Linked DNA regions of Pelodiscus sinensis. The protein of the gene in region 2 purifies or fractionates together with the protein of the main gene of each other region. This does not show direct contact. Links are inferred from orthologs where the notes say so. Each region holds a gene or a part of one and is shown on either strand. Other genes may lie near its edges.

What was found. The genes of interacting proteins can lie anywhere in the genome.
Region 1: the proteins of PPP1CC (region 2) and KIFBP purify together in Homo sapiens (affinity purification with mass spectrometry; 3 studies listed by BioGRID and IntAct, counting the BioPlex papers as one, with this or other methods). This does not show direct contact. The link is inferred for Pelodiscus sinensis from reciprocal best matches to the Homo sapiens genes PPP1CC and KIFBP.

Annotation. Positions count from the first base shown.
Region 1 is NC_134718.1:28,668,145-28,675,221, reverse strand, and holds the start of KIFBP (KIF-binding protein), read right to left. Parts: upstream 3,106-7,077; 5' UTR 2,792-3,105; coding exon 2,429-2,791; intron 1-2,428. UniProt on the Homo sapiens protein: Activator of KIF1B plus-end-directed microtubule motor activity. Required for organization of axonal microtubules, and axonal outgrowth and maintenance during peripheral and central nervous system development.
Region 2 is NC_134725.1:34,180,765-34,188,302, reverse strand, and holds the start of PPP1CC (serine/threonine-protein phosphatase PP1-gamma catalytic subunit), read left to right. Parts: upstream 1-4,497; 5' UTR 4,498-4,626; coding exon 4,627-4,681; intron 4,682-7,538. UniProt on the Homo sapiens protein: Protein phosphatase that associates with over 200 regulatory proteins to form highly specific holoenzymes which dephosphorylate hundreds of biological targets.

The sequences.
Region 1 (7,077 bases), on a different chromosome or scaffold from region 2:
GAGAGGCTTGTAGAATCTGGTGTTGGTGAGTTGTCTGGTCACCTCCTGTTCATAATCTGTTCTGTTCATGACAACTACAGTGCCCCCTTTGTCAGCCTCTTTGATTATGATGTTAGAATTGTTTGAGGCTGCGTATAGCATTGTGTTCTGCATGACTGAGGCTGTATGTTATAGTCAGCAAACAACAGCATGTGTCAGCAGTTTGAGCACGTTTGTGGAAGCAGTTGTTGTAGAAGTCAAGACTCTCATTACAACCGTTAGTAGGGGTCCACACAGAAGCCTTCCTCTTGTAGGATTGGCAGGGGAGAGCAGAAAGGTCAGTGTATTGTACATCAGTGTGTTGGAAATATTCCTTTAGGTGGAGGCAGTGAAAATAGACTTCCTGATCTCCACAGAACTGAATTATATTTGTAGGGGTGATGGGGCAGAAAGAGAGTCCTCAAGATAGCCCCGTGGAGGAATCTGTCCTAAGAGAGAGGTTGGATACGTTGACAATATTGCTAGGTGAACTGAAAGTATCTGGAATGAGAGATCTTGAAGCATGTAGGAGTTTGGATAGTTTATTGTCCTTTTTATTCCAAAGGGAGATGAAGTGATCCTTGTACGTGGTTTACTGAATTTTAGTAAAGTCTGGAAAACATGAAGTCTGTATGGAAGCTTGGTTTTCTAGGATAGTTTCTAATGTTGAGAGCTCCTCCTTGATTTTCTTCTGTCTGTTGAATAAAATGCTGATAAGGTGGTTCCTGAATTTCTTTGCAAGAGTGTGGCATAATCGCTAACTGTAGTCTGTGGGATATGTAGATTGCAGTGGGTTTTTCACCCTCAGTCCCTTAGGTACGATGTTCATCTGTTTGCACTTGGAAAGAAAGATGATGTCTGTTTGGATCTGTGAGAGTTTTTGTGTAGTTGATATATTTCCACTCGGTATGGCAGAATGCAGTACATTGCATGTTCAACCAAGTGGGTTGCCCCCACAAAAGCTCATACCATCTACATGTTTTGTTAATCTTTAAGGATATGTCTACACTTGCTCCCTAGTCCGAACTAGGGATGCAAATGTAGCATACCAAAGTTGCTAATGAAGCACGGGATTATCATATTCGCGTCCGGTAGCCATTTTAAAAATCCACTAGTCCGAATTAACTCACCATGTGTAGATGCGGTATTCTGAAGGAAACCCCTTCTTTCAGATTAACTGTTACTCCTTGTGCAATCTGAGGGAAAGGGTTTCCTTCGGAATACCGCATCTACACGCGGCGAGTTAATTTGGACTAGTGGATTTTTAAATTGGTGACCGAACGCGAATATGCCAATCAAGCGCAGGATATTTAAATCCCGCACTTCATTATTAACTTTGGTATGCTACATTTGCATCCCTAGTTCGGACTAGGGAGCAAGTGTAGAAATATCCTAAGGTATTACTAGTCTATTTGTTGTTTAAATTTTTCCTGTTACAGACTAACTCCGCTCCTCCTCTGAAACTTTTAAGATTCCAGTATTTCAATAACTCATATTCCCACTTACATCACCTTACCAATCACAAGTAAGATGTGCCACGGCCTGGCTAGGATTATGTTGTTATCCTGCCAAAGGTCAGGAACACCCCAAGTCTGCAAATGGGGATCGGGCCTAACCGATTCCAAATATTACCCTGTCCTAGAGTGACTGGAGATTCCCCCATCTGGAGATAAGCCAACATTAGGCTCAAACAAAATACAGGACTATGTAGCACTTTAAAGACTAACAAAATGGTTTATTAGATGATGAGCTTTCGTCTGGCCCACAAAAGCTCATCATCGAATAAACCATCTTGGGTGTGTCTAGACTACATGCCTCCTTCGACGGAGGCATGTAGATTAGCCAGATCGGAAGAGGGAAATGAAGCCGCGATTAAAATAATCGCGGCTTCATTTAAATTTAAATGGCTGCCCCGATCTGCCGATCAGCTGTTTGTCGGCAGATCGGGGGAGTCTGGACGCGATGCCCCGACAAAGAAGCCTTTCTTCATCGACACAGGTAAGCCTCGTGAAACCAGGCTTACCTGTGTCGATGAAGAAAGGCTTCTTTGTCGGGGCATCGCGTCCAGACTCCCCCGATCTGCCGACAAACAGCTGATCGGCAGATCGGGGCAGCCATTTAAATTTAAATGAAGCCGCGATTATTTTAATCGCGGCTTCATTTCCCTCTTCCGATCTGGCTAATCTACATGCCTCCGTCGAAGGAGGCATGTAGTCTAGACACACCCCTTGTTAGTCTTTGAAGTGCTACATAGTCCTGTATTTTGTTTCAGCTACATCACACTAACACGGCTACATCTCTATCACCATTAGGCTCAAGAGAGAAAATCACATCCTCAGGGCGCCCTCCCCTCCCGCTGTGGCAGCAGCTCGTCAATCAGGCGGGTTCCAGGGTGGCAGCCGCTCCCTACCTGGGCCTGGATGTAGAGGGAGACGCAGTCCCGGGAGAGGCGGTGGCGCTCCAGCAGCCGAGTGCACTTCAGCAGGTGCTCCTCGCCCGCAGAGAGCTCCTCGGTCTCGGTGTGGTTCACCCCCAGCTCGTACTCCACCACCGCCCGGCGCATGGCCCGCAGCGCCGCCGCCTCTCCCGCACGGGCGCCCTCGGCCGACTCCTCCGAGCCCAGCAGCTGCCGGATCTCCTCCAGCAGCTCCCGGGCGGCGTACTTGGAGCGATAGGGCTCGTTCTCCGGGTCCTTCTTGGACTCCACGCTGGAGAGGCTCAGCGAGCTGCGGAACTTCTCACAGAGCGAGGCCCAGCCGGCGGGGGCCGCCATCTTCCCGCCGCTCCCAGCGCAGACCGCAACTGCCACTCTCGCGCGCCGGCGCGGACACGTGACTGTCTCTCGCTGGGCAATCAGGGACGCTCACGGTGTCCGGTCTGACCTGTCACGGCGCGCGGCTAGTACCACGCCCCGCCCCCACTAGGAGGCGGCGCACGTTATCCGAGCTCCCCTCCCCCTAGCCGCGGAGCATGAGTCAGCGCCCGACCGCCACCCGCCTGAGGGGCAGCCTAGACCTGCATATGGTGATGACAATGCGCCGGCTCGTCACACTGCCACAACGGCAGCTCTGCGTAACGCACGCCCTCCCCGCACGAAGTGCGCTGCCTCACTTTCCCGCCTGCGACCCCTTTGAAGCTGGCTGAGCTGCCTTGGGTACCCCACGAAAAACCTAATTCCCGGCCAATGGGAGCAGCGGGGCAAGACTCCTCCCCCGCACTCCAACCTGGGCGGCGGGGGGTGGAGCGCTGGTGACGGCTCCCCACTGCGGAGGTGAGCCCCACGGCCCCCTGCAAGATGGGTTAGCAGACCACACCTTGAGACCCACTGCCCTAAGGAATCATTTTGTCATTTGCAGCTTAGCACTGAATGTCTCCACTTACTGCCAACAGAAGGCTCTGGTAGCCGCTAGGTCCGTGTTTCTTAAACTTTTTAAGACCAGCAGTTTTGTCCGATGCCGTGGTGAGCTGCACCCCTGACTCCTCAGTCTCTGGAGAGTGCACTCTTGCAAGTGAGAAGTGTTGTGCCTTCACTCCTCCCAGGGTGAAATCCCATAATACTCCCCCTAACAGGACAGGAAATTCATCCACCCTATGAATGGCAGGTAGGTTTCTAGGGGAACCTGGTTGGTTTTCTGTCAGCTCACCTGTCAGGCTGCTGGAGAGCCTGGGTTTCCAGAGGAATAAGTTGGGGGCAGCCAGCTACTCCATGTGGTTTTTGGAGGGAGCGTGGTGGTAGGGAGTTGAACTGATAAAAGAAAGTTCTTCTTTACACAGCGTGTAGTCAACCTGTGGAACTCCTTGCCAGAGGAGGCTGTGAAGGCTAGGACTATAACAGAGTTTAAAGAGAAGCTAGATAATTTCATGGAGGTTAGGTCCATAAAGGGCTATTAGCCAGGGGATAAAATGGTGTCCTTGGCCTCTGTTTGTCAGAGGCTGGAGAGAGATGGCAGAAGACAAATCGCTTGATCGTGTCTTCGGTCCACCCTCTCTGGGGCACGTGGTGCTGGCCACTGTCAGCAGACAGGATACTGGGCTAGAAGGACCTTTGGTCTGACCCAGTACGGCCGTTCTTATGTTCTTATGTAACTGGAACAGTACGATCTTCCCAAAATGAAAAATTTTGGAGTTTCCTTTTTGAGAGAAATGTGTTTTCATTTTCTTGCCTGCAGGCCACCTCCCCTGCCCCAAGCTAAGGACATTGTCCCAACATTTCCTGACATAATGCATTACTGGCTTATCCAATGCCAGTGTCTCAGACACTGCTTGTGTCTGCCTGCCAGCACTGCCCTGCTGCAAACCCAAGAACCTTGCTGAAAAATTTGGGTCTTGTCTATAAGGCTGTGTCTACATTGGCACCCTTTTCCGGAAATGCTTAAAACGGAACAGTTTTCCGTTATAAGTATTTCCGGGAAAAGAGCGTCTACATTGGCAGGATGCTTTTCCGGAAAAGCACTTTTTCCGGAAAAGCGTCCGTGGCAAATGTAGACGCGCTTTTCCGGAAAAAAGCCCCGATCGTCATTTTCGCAATCTGGGCTTTTTTGCGGAAAAGACTACTGTGCTGTCTACATTGGCCCTTTTCCGGAATAGTTTTTCTGGAAAAGGACTTTTGCCCGAACGGGAGCAGCATAGTTTTTCCAGAAAATCACTGACAATTTTACAGTAGATCGTCATTGCTTTTCCGGAAAAGCAAGCGGCCAGTGTAGACAGCTTTCAAGTTATTCCAGAAAAGCGGCTGCTTTTCCGGAATAAGTGGCCCAGTGTGTAGACAGCCTAAGACTTTGGACATAGTGTGCTAGAGACAACTACACCCACCTATAGGCATCGCTCATGCCTCTGGCTGGAAGACTGGGGCCATGTGCCAGGTTAGCACTGTATGGGCTGCATCTGAAGTGGGGACATCTTTTAGACACTCTTTCACCCTATCTGAGAAATGGAGGCTCACAGAAAAGCAACAAAGAATCATAGAATCATAGAATACTAGGACTGGAAAGGACCTTGAGGGGTCATCGAGTCCAGTCCCCTGCCCTCATGGCAGGACCAAGTACTGTCTAGAAGACCATCCCTGATAGACATTTATCTAACCTACTCTTAAATATCTCCAGAGATGGAGATTCCACAACCTCCCTGGGCAATTTATTCCAGTGTTTGACCACCCTGACAGTTAGGAACTTTTTCCTAATGTCCAAGCTAAACTTCCCTTGCTGCAGTTTAAGCCCATTGTTTCTTGTTTTATCCTCAGAGGCCAAGATGAACAAGTTTTCTCCTTCCTCCTTATGACACCCTTTTAGATACCTGAAATCTGCTATCATATTCCCCCCTCAATCTTCTCTTTTCTAAACTAAACAAATCCAAATTTTTCAGCCTTCCTTCACAGGTCATGTTCACTAGACCTTTAATGATTCTTGTTGCTCTTCCCTGGACCCTCTCCAATTTCTCCATATCTTTCTTGAAATGCGGTGCCCAGAACTGGACACAGTACTCCAACTGAAGCCTAACTAGTGCAGAGTGGAGTGAAAGAATGACTTCTCGTGTCTTGCTCACAACACACCTGTTAATGCATCCCAGAATCATGTTTGCTTTTTTTGCAACAGCATCACACTGCTGACTCATATTCAGCTTGTGGGTCCACTATAACCCCTAGATCCCTTTCTGCAGTACTCCTTTCTGGACAGTCGCTTCCCATTCTGTATGTGTGAAACTGATTGTTCCTTCCTAAGTGGAGCACTTTGCATTTGTCTTTATTAAACTTCATCCTGTTTACCTCAGACCATTTCTCCAATTTGTCCAGATCATTTTGAATTATAACTCTATCCTCCAGATTAGTCGCAACCCCTCACAGGTTGGTATCATCTGCAAACTTAATAAGCGTACTTTTTATGACAATATCTAAATCATTGATGAAGATATTGAAGAGAGCCGGTCCCAAAACAGACCCCTGCGTAACCCCACTTGTTATACCTTTCCAGCAGGATTGTGAACCATTAATAACTACTCTCTGGCTGCGTCTAGACTGACATGATTTTGCGGAAATACTTTTAACGGAAAAGTTTTTCCGTTAAAAGTGTTTCCACAAAAGAGCATTTAGGTTGGCACGGATGCTTTTGTGCAAAAAGTGCTTTTGCGCAAAAGCGTCCGTGCCCAGTATAGACGCGCTTTTGTGCAAGAATGCTCCGGTGGCCATTTTAGCCATCGGGCTTTCTTGCGCAAAAAATGAAGATGCCTGTCTACACTGGCCCTCTTGCGCAATTATTCTTGCACAAGAGGGCTTATCCCTGAGCGGGAGCGTCAAAGTATTTGTGCCAGAAGCACTGAATTCTAACATTAGAACCTCAGTGCTCTTGTGCAAATTCTCGCGGCCAGTGTAGACAGGTGGCAAGTTTTTGCACAAAAGCGAATGCGTTTGCACAAAATCTTGCCAGTCAAGACGCACCCTCTGAGTATGGTTATCCAGCCAGTTATGCACCCACCTTATAGTAGCCTCATCTAAGTTGCATTTGCCTAGTTTGATAAGAATATCATGTGAGACCATATCAAATGCCTTACTAAAGTCTAGGTATACCACATCCACTGCTTCTCCCTTATCCACAAGATTCGTTATCCTATCAAAGAAAGCTATCAGATTGGTTTGACATGATTTGTTCTTGTTTTTTCCTCTTTGATTTACATAGAAGTTATGTTGTCAGTAGGACACGTGTGTGTGTTCCTTTGACCAGTGAGAGAAAATGGACCCAGGTATTCTTGACCACCCTGATCTCAAGTTGATTTGGAGGGATAACTGTGAATTACCATTTGCCATGTGTCGTAAGGTCATTTACATGTACACCCCACTGGTAAGTGATGTTAGTGGTGAGAAGTAACAACAGAAAAGTTTATAAAAAGTTGGCAAACATTTGCTGGATTTTGCCACCAGTTTAGGGAGTTTTAAACCATCATGGGCAGTGACACAGATTTGTCTAGTGTCTCTGTGTTTGGTCTCCATACCACATTTCACCTCTGCGCTGGCTGTCATATGCCCCAAGAATTGGAGGCAGGGTCTATCTGATATACGGGGACTCTTGT
Region 2 (7,538 bases):
GGAGCAGGCTCAAGACTGGGACAAGGGGTTAGAGTGCAGGAGAGAACTGATGGCTGGGACAGAGGGTTTGGAGTGAGTGTCCAGGTTCTGGAAGGGGGTGGTGGTGAGGGAGGGTGAGAGAGGTGAAGGCTCTGGCTGGATGTATGTCGCTTACTTCAGGTGACTCCCTTATTTCCAAGAATGCTCCTCCTTGCCACGGCCCAACAATGTGCTCAGAAGCTGCCAAGCTATGGCCAGGTGGCTTTGTGCAGTGTGCACTGCCCCTTTCCATAGGCACCACGCCCACAGCTCCCATTGGCCGGCATTGCCAGTCAATGAGAGCTGCTGGAGCAGATGCATGCGGACTCATAGTTTCCATGGTCATCTGCCAGTAGGCCTCAGGGCCTTCCAACCAACCTGGCACCTTAGTTCCCCTCCACAGTGGTGCTCACAATTCCAGCCCAATGAGTGGGGGAGGAGGGGAGCTGAAATTCAGAACTTCCAGACCATGAAACAAAGACTTGCCATGGGCCAGATCAGATTAAGCAGGGACCCAGATCTGGCCCACAGACTGGAGGTATCCCATCCCTATATTATGATAAACATTCACTCCAGAGCTTAATTTTGAAGGTGCATTTGGTAACCAATGAATACCTGTAGTTACCTATGACCACTACTATCTATTTCCTCTCAACTGCTTCTTCATTGTTGGCTCTAAAATGTGCTGATATTGCATATTTCTTGCTTCATCACCATGATCAGCCTGAACTCTGCTCCGGCCCAACCACAATAATGAGTTGTTATGATTATTACATAACTGCTGTGTGAAGAATCCAGCATGCACAGTGGAAGCAATGTATTTTGGAGAGGGGAGGAGGGAACTGGGTTGGCACAGCCATCCCTGCAAATTAAACTCAGAGTAAATAAACCCATTAAACAATATTCAATCATAGCTGCAAAGCAATGAGCAATCCTAGTAAAGGTCACTACATCTCACTGCAAATGCAATTTAATTTGTTAGAAACTCTGCTGATTTGATTTGGACTTTGCCTAAAATGTGTTTCTACTACACATAGAATAAAATAACTTTAAATATTAATATAGTATTTTAATACAAATTTAAATGTTTTTTTATGTCTTCCTCCAGTAATTTCAAAGCATTTCACAAAAATCCTGCAAATACCTACAGGCACAGGGAGACTCTCCTGCACATTTACACCTTTGCAGAAGTGTTGGCATCATTAGGGCCATTATTGAATTAAGTTTCAGATCACCCGAGACAAAAACTTAAAAAAACAACAAATGGTCTGGTAGCACTTTATAGACTAACAAAACATGAAGATGGCATCATGAGCTTTTGTGGGCACAGCCTACTTCTTCAGATGACCGGAGTTTTGAGTTTAGAATGTACAGACCCAAAATAAATAGGGAAGAAGGGAGAAGGGAAAAAAGTGGAAGGGGCGGGAAACAAGAGCAGAGGGTATGTAAATATTAAAGGGAAAACCAAACAGGCAAAACTGACATAGTTCAGTGTGATTTAACCCATTTTACTAATGGAGGAACAGAAGCACCAATTGTGTCATGGAAGCCTCATGGCTAGGGCCCTACCAAAATTGGTGGTTTATTTTGGCCAATTTCATGGCCATAGGATTTTTTTAAATAGTAAATGTCATGATTTCAGCTATTTAAACATGAAATTTCATGGTATTCTAATTGTAGGGGTCTTGAACCTAAAAGGAGTTATGGGGTGGAGGGTCATAAGATTTTTGTAGGAGAAATTGCAGTACTGCTACCCTTACTTCTGCACGGCTGCTGTGAGTGGGAGGGGCAGGGAGATTAGCAAGGATCCTGGTGCCCACAGCAGGGGTCCAGCTCCACACACATTTGCCAGCACCAGTGGGGAAAGCAGAACAAAGCGGCCTCTGCTCTCTGAGGTCTCTTGATGCACCACTCCAGGAACAGTGGGCAGATCACCCCTGCTTTCACCTGTGAGAAGTGGCACGACATGGCCAGGGGAGCAAAATGAGCTGAGGCTGTGTTGTTCTGCTTCCCCCTCGGTCCCCCAGCCCTGCTCGTCCCCTAGGCTGCATCAGATGCAGGAAGATATCAGGAGAGAGGTGGAGCAAGGGCAGGAAGAGGCAGGACCTGAGATGGAGAGGGGCTGTACTGGCCCTTTCCTGGGCTGGGTGGATGTCACATGACCAGTGGCTCCTCAGGTCTTCCCTCTCCAGTTGCCTCTGTATGACAGGATGCTGCCTTCAGAGCTGGACACCCAGCTCACAGCTGCCATTCTCTGGTCACCTACCCAGCTGTGAAGGCAGCACAGAAGTAATGGTGGCAATACCATGATCCCCTCTAAAATAACCTTGAAAGCCCATAGTGGCTTTTGGGTCTAGACCAGGGGTGCCCAAACTTTTTTCAAAGAGGGCCAGATTTGATGAAGTGAACAAGCGTGAGGGCCGACCATTTTGCCTGACATTCTTTGAACCATTAAAATTAAATGCAAATTAACTATTTTATGCAAAGTTTATTGCAAACGGCATACTTTTCATTTCGTTACATGGATGACAAATCTAAACAGGTGTTAAATCACTCTGGCTTTCATATCTGAAGGCCAGATGAAAAAAAATCCAGGAAGCTGAAATATATGTCAGGAACATTGTAAAGTATATTACATATTATTGGTAATAAAGGTTGTCTGTCAACTTTTAAGTTCAAAAAATATGATCAGAAACATAACACCAAGTATACATGTTGTGTCCAAATATATTTATAACTGATTTAGACCAACTGACATTAACTGAGATTTTACAATGTATTCATCTCAATACATATGGATTCGTTGGGGGCCATAAAAGATAGATATTGCCAAATTACCTGTGGGGCCGTATGAAACCGGAACACGGGCCGCAATTGGCCCGCGGGCCGGACTTTGGACATGCCTGGTCTAGACTCTCAATTTGAGAAAATCTGGTCTCTGCTATGAAATCAGTACATTATAGAGTAAAAGTGACTTACGAAACGAGCATGGAACAATCCCAAACTGACATTGAAAACAAATATACTGATATATCATGCGTGAGTATCAAGCTTCTTGCTTTATGGATCTGAGACCTGGGCTACCTACTCGTGCCAAGAGAAAAAATTGATTAGTTTCCACCTTTGCTGCCTTTGCGGAATCATGAATATTAAGTGGCAAGACAAAGTTTCAGATGTAGATGACCTATCAAGACTTGGCATATCCAGTCTCATAGCGATCCTTAACAACAGAAGACTCTGATGGCTTGGCCATCATATATATAGTAGCCCAGTGTCTGTGCGTCTGTAACGCTGACGTACACAGCCACGCTCCCTGGCCGTGTATGTCAGCACCCTGCCCCCCTTTCCCTCCCTCCGTGGCGCGCTGCGCCACTCAGCTGGGTCCCGGCAGGGGAGCAAGCGGCAGCAAGCAGCCGTTTGGGGTCCGTGCTCTCATGGGGAACTCCGTGGGGAGCACAGACCCCAAACGGCCGCTTACCGCCACTTGCTCCCCCACCAGGGCACAGCTCCCAGCTGAGCGCACCAGGGAGGGAGGGGAAGGGGGCGGGGCTGGATGGAAGGGGGGCAGGAAGCAGAGCTGGGGGGGGATAGGGGGCTGTGGGGTTGAAGGAGAGGATGGGGGGGCGGAGGAAGGGGGGCGGGAAGCAGTGCTGGCAGGGGGTGGTGTCCGGGGGCCGTGGGGCTGGCCAGCAGGAAGAGGGGGTGGTAAGCAGAGCTGGGGAGGATTGGGGGCTGTGGGGCTGGACAGGAGGAGTGGGGGACGGAGGAAGGGGGGGGCAGGAAGCAAAGACCTGGCGAGGGTGGGTGCAGCCACTGGCCGCAGCCAGACTCCTTCTGGCTGTGCCCCCGGCAGGCAGACCAGAAGCTCCCAGTTTGGAGACGGCCACAATTGGCACTTGAAGCCTCTGGTCCTGTGCAATAGCTGGGAGGGGGGGCGTGACCACAGGGCTCCCAAAGCCAATTGTGCACCGCCTCTCAGTCACTCCCCCCGCCCCTGCCAGGCTTCCCTCCCGCACCCAGCCGGAAATTCACAAAATACTGGACATTGCACAACTCTGGTATTTTCTGATTTTTTTTCTACTGGACAGATGGTGCAAATACTAGAAGTGAGTCTGGCTCACAAAAGCTCATCACCTAATAAACCATCTTATTAGTCTTTAAAGTGCTGCACAGTCCTGTTTCATGGATTGTTATAGTTATGGGTTGTCCCTTATTCTCGATTGTACTGCTCACGCAGGGGGGATACTGGGCTTGCTCTGACTGACTGGGGCCAAGGCGCACGTGGAGGGAACCTGCGGCCGGCCCCCTCGAACACTCCATCGCTTTGCAACGGCGCGCGCACCTGCCGGCTTCCAAGCTATTCCCCTGCTCCCGCTCCCGCCCCCTCCCGGCGGAAGGATCTCGTGAGTGCTAGACGCTGGGTGAAGCGAACCCGCTCTTCCTAGCAAAGGTTCCGGCCGCCGCGCGGCGACCATTAAGTATTCGTGCGCCGGCCGAGCTTCTTGAGAAGGGACGGCGGCCATTTTGTTCGGCTTCGGGTGTCTGCTGCGAGGGGCCGGCCAGAGGCGGGAGATTCGGGTGCGGGCGCTGCGGTGCCGCTGGGAGGCCATGGCGGACATTGACAAGCTCAACATCGACAGCATCATCCAACGGCTGCTGGAGGGTGAGGAAGCGGGCGGGCCCGGGGGGGGGGGCGGTTCCAGGAGGGAAGCGCTCGGCTGCAGAGGGAGGCTCGCGGGGATGCCGGGGGGGGCGGCCCGGGCGGGGAGGGGGCCTGTGGCCTGAGCCCGCTGCTCGGCCCCCCTCGAGCAGCGTCCGCGGGGCTTTGCCGTGCCCCGGTGACCGGCCCTTCGCCTGCGTGGAGGTTCCCCGCACCGCGCCTGCCGGGCTGCAACGCCGCTGCCTCGGCTGGAGCTGCTGCCTGCAGCGGGTCCCCCCCCACCCGCGCGTGGCAACCGTAGGGCGATTGGGGGGGGGGTGAGGCAGCTACTTGTCCAGGGTCCTGTCTCCCGCTCCCTGCCGCGCACGTGCCGAGTGAAGGGACGCTTGGCTGTGCGTGGAAATGCAACTCCTCGAAAGGTCAGAGGCCGAGCATGTTGTGGGAGGCTTTAGAAAGATGGGGGGGAGGGGGAAGTGTCCTGCTTTTTGGCCCTTCAGGTGGGTCTCGTCTGTAATTGAGCCAGAGTAACTCGTTATCTGTGGGAATGCAGGTCTCGGTGGGTGTAAGAATAGGAGTTTTAGTTCATCCACACTCGTTTTTGACTTTTTTTTTTTTTAAGTGGAAGGGGGTGGTTTTGCTCTGAGGATAAGGTCCTTCTAAGCTTATGGAAAAGATTTGTCTTATTGTCTATCTGTAATGCTTTGGAGTGGGAGAGGATAGGTAGGTGCACTCAGTGTCTAGTCTTTTGTCATGGGGTTTTATTGTTTTTCTGTTTGGACGGAATCAGGTTAAAATAGTTTTATTGATCTTTGCAAATAGCCAATGACATTCTCCTTGGAGCAGGTAGCAAAATTAAATAAGAATAGGGTTTATCCAGCTTGTCTCAGGACCTTCTATGTACTCCGATGTCTCATCTGAATTTACCCTGGAAGAGCTTGTTCAGGATTTTTTTTCCCTCCCATTTAGCGCAAAGTAACCTAGGATTCTGCTGAACCAGATATTAGAGAAATGACTTTCATCTTTTTTTTTCCCTTGTAAGGTTTTTTGAACATATTGGATAATGAAAGGCCAGGAGAAAGTATCATCGTTATCCCTACAGAAATTAAGATTTACAAATCTAGTGGATTTGATTTGGGATTGTGCCAAATATATATGTACAGAGAGAGCATATTGTGTCTTGGTTTTTCCTCTTTGTGCTACTGTTTAGGTGTAAAATATATATACACCTAAACAGTTTATATATATATATAAATAAATAAAGGTTTGGATGTGTCTGCAATGGGATTGTTTCTCAGAAAACATTCAGAAAAGACAAAATCACCGGGAAAGTGAAAGGGACCTGCACTCTTCTCCCCCCTCCCCCAAACTGCCCAAGCCCCAGCCACCCCAGATACCCTTTAGAGAGGGCAGGGGGGGTTAACCCCCCCCCCCCCAAACTTGCACAGGAATATTGCTGGCTATTCCCCTTCCTCAGGGAGTGGGGAAAGTGCACAGTTTGCTGCATTGTTCACTCTGGCTGTGGAGTACAGGGGGGCAGACTAACCTGGACCTGCCCTAGCCAACTGGATATATACCCCTCTTCTGGCTGTGCCCGCTGGAGCAGTCATGAAGAGGTGCTTTTCATCTGACCCCCAAGCTGCTGCACTTCCTCTCCCCCCCCCCCCCCCATACACACACACACACACAGCCAGGGCAGTCTGCATACTGACTGCCTCGTTCCCAGCCCACCCAGAGCAGTGATTTAAATGAAGAAAAAACAAAAATTGACTTAAGGACTCAATTAACATTGGGTAAATCTTCTAGTATACTATATATGACTTGAGATTTTTTTTTTTAAGTTGGTTGGGAATGTGACAGCTGCCACCTTTAAATGCTACATAAATAGGACTTTAAAGGACTCACTAACAAGATACTCACAGGATGTCTGTCACTGTACTTAGAACTACAAATTAGCAGTAGTAACTAATGTGGCATTTAATTGATGCAAAAGCTTTTACAGTGAAATTTTACATAAAAATCCTCTTGAATTTCTTGATTTTAATTTGTTTGGGCAGGTATTTTCTAGCTTTAAATCATTTGATGCTAGTTAAACATCCTAACAACTGTTGTTCCTACTTCATGTGTTCCTCCCTTTTGTGTTTGAGAGATTGCAGTCAGTTGCTATATATAACTGAGTTTTGTTAGAGCCCTGTGTCATGAATATAGCTGTTTGTATTTTACTTCAATTTTTAAAAAAGGCTTACTTGCCTTCAAGTAAATAAGCATTAAATTGTGATTATGTAGCTTAATATATAAAATCCACTATACTATTTTTGTTTTACAACTAATCAATCCTTTTTCAAAACTTGGGAATACTGACATTCCCATTGACTATAGGTAACATTTTAAAAGTTCATATGCATCTGTTCATGTTTGCTAAAACGCATACAAAATGTCTGATCAGATTATTCAAATAGCTGAAATTCTCTTAAACTAGGTTTCATCCCGGAAGCCTCACCACCATTCTTTTTTCTTCCTCTCAGAAAATGTTTTTTTGGGTTTCTTTGAACAAGCCTGAGAAACTTAAGCCCAAATGATTTCTATTTATAACTCCTCTAAAAGGAGGCCTTATGTAAAGGTCCTCTTCGGCCATACTGCAACGATAGCACCATGACTAGGGTTAAATGTTGATTGATTAACTTCGAATGGGGGGTCCATAAGGGTGCTTCTGCCTTTGAAGTATAGAAGCAGCCCCACTTCAAAGGCAAAAGCCCTGTGGAGAGCTTGGGGTCAGCTGGGGACTCCCCTGCTGACCCTGGGCTCTATGCGGCACTGCCGCTTTGAAACATGACGAGGAGCCTGGGTCATGCTCCTTGTGGCA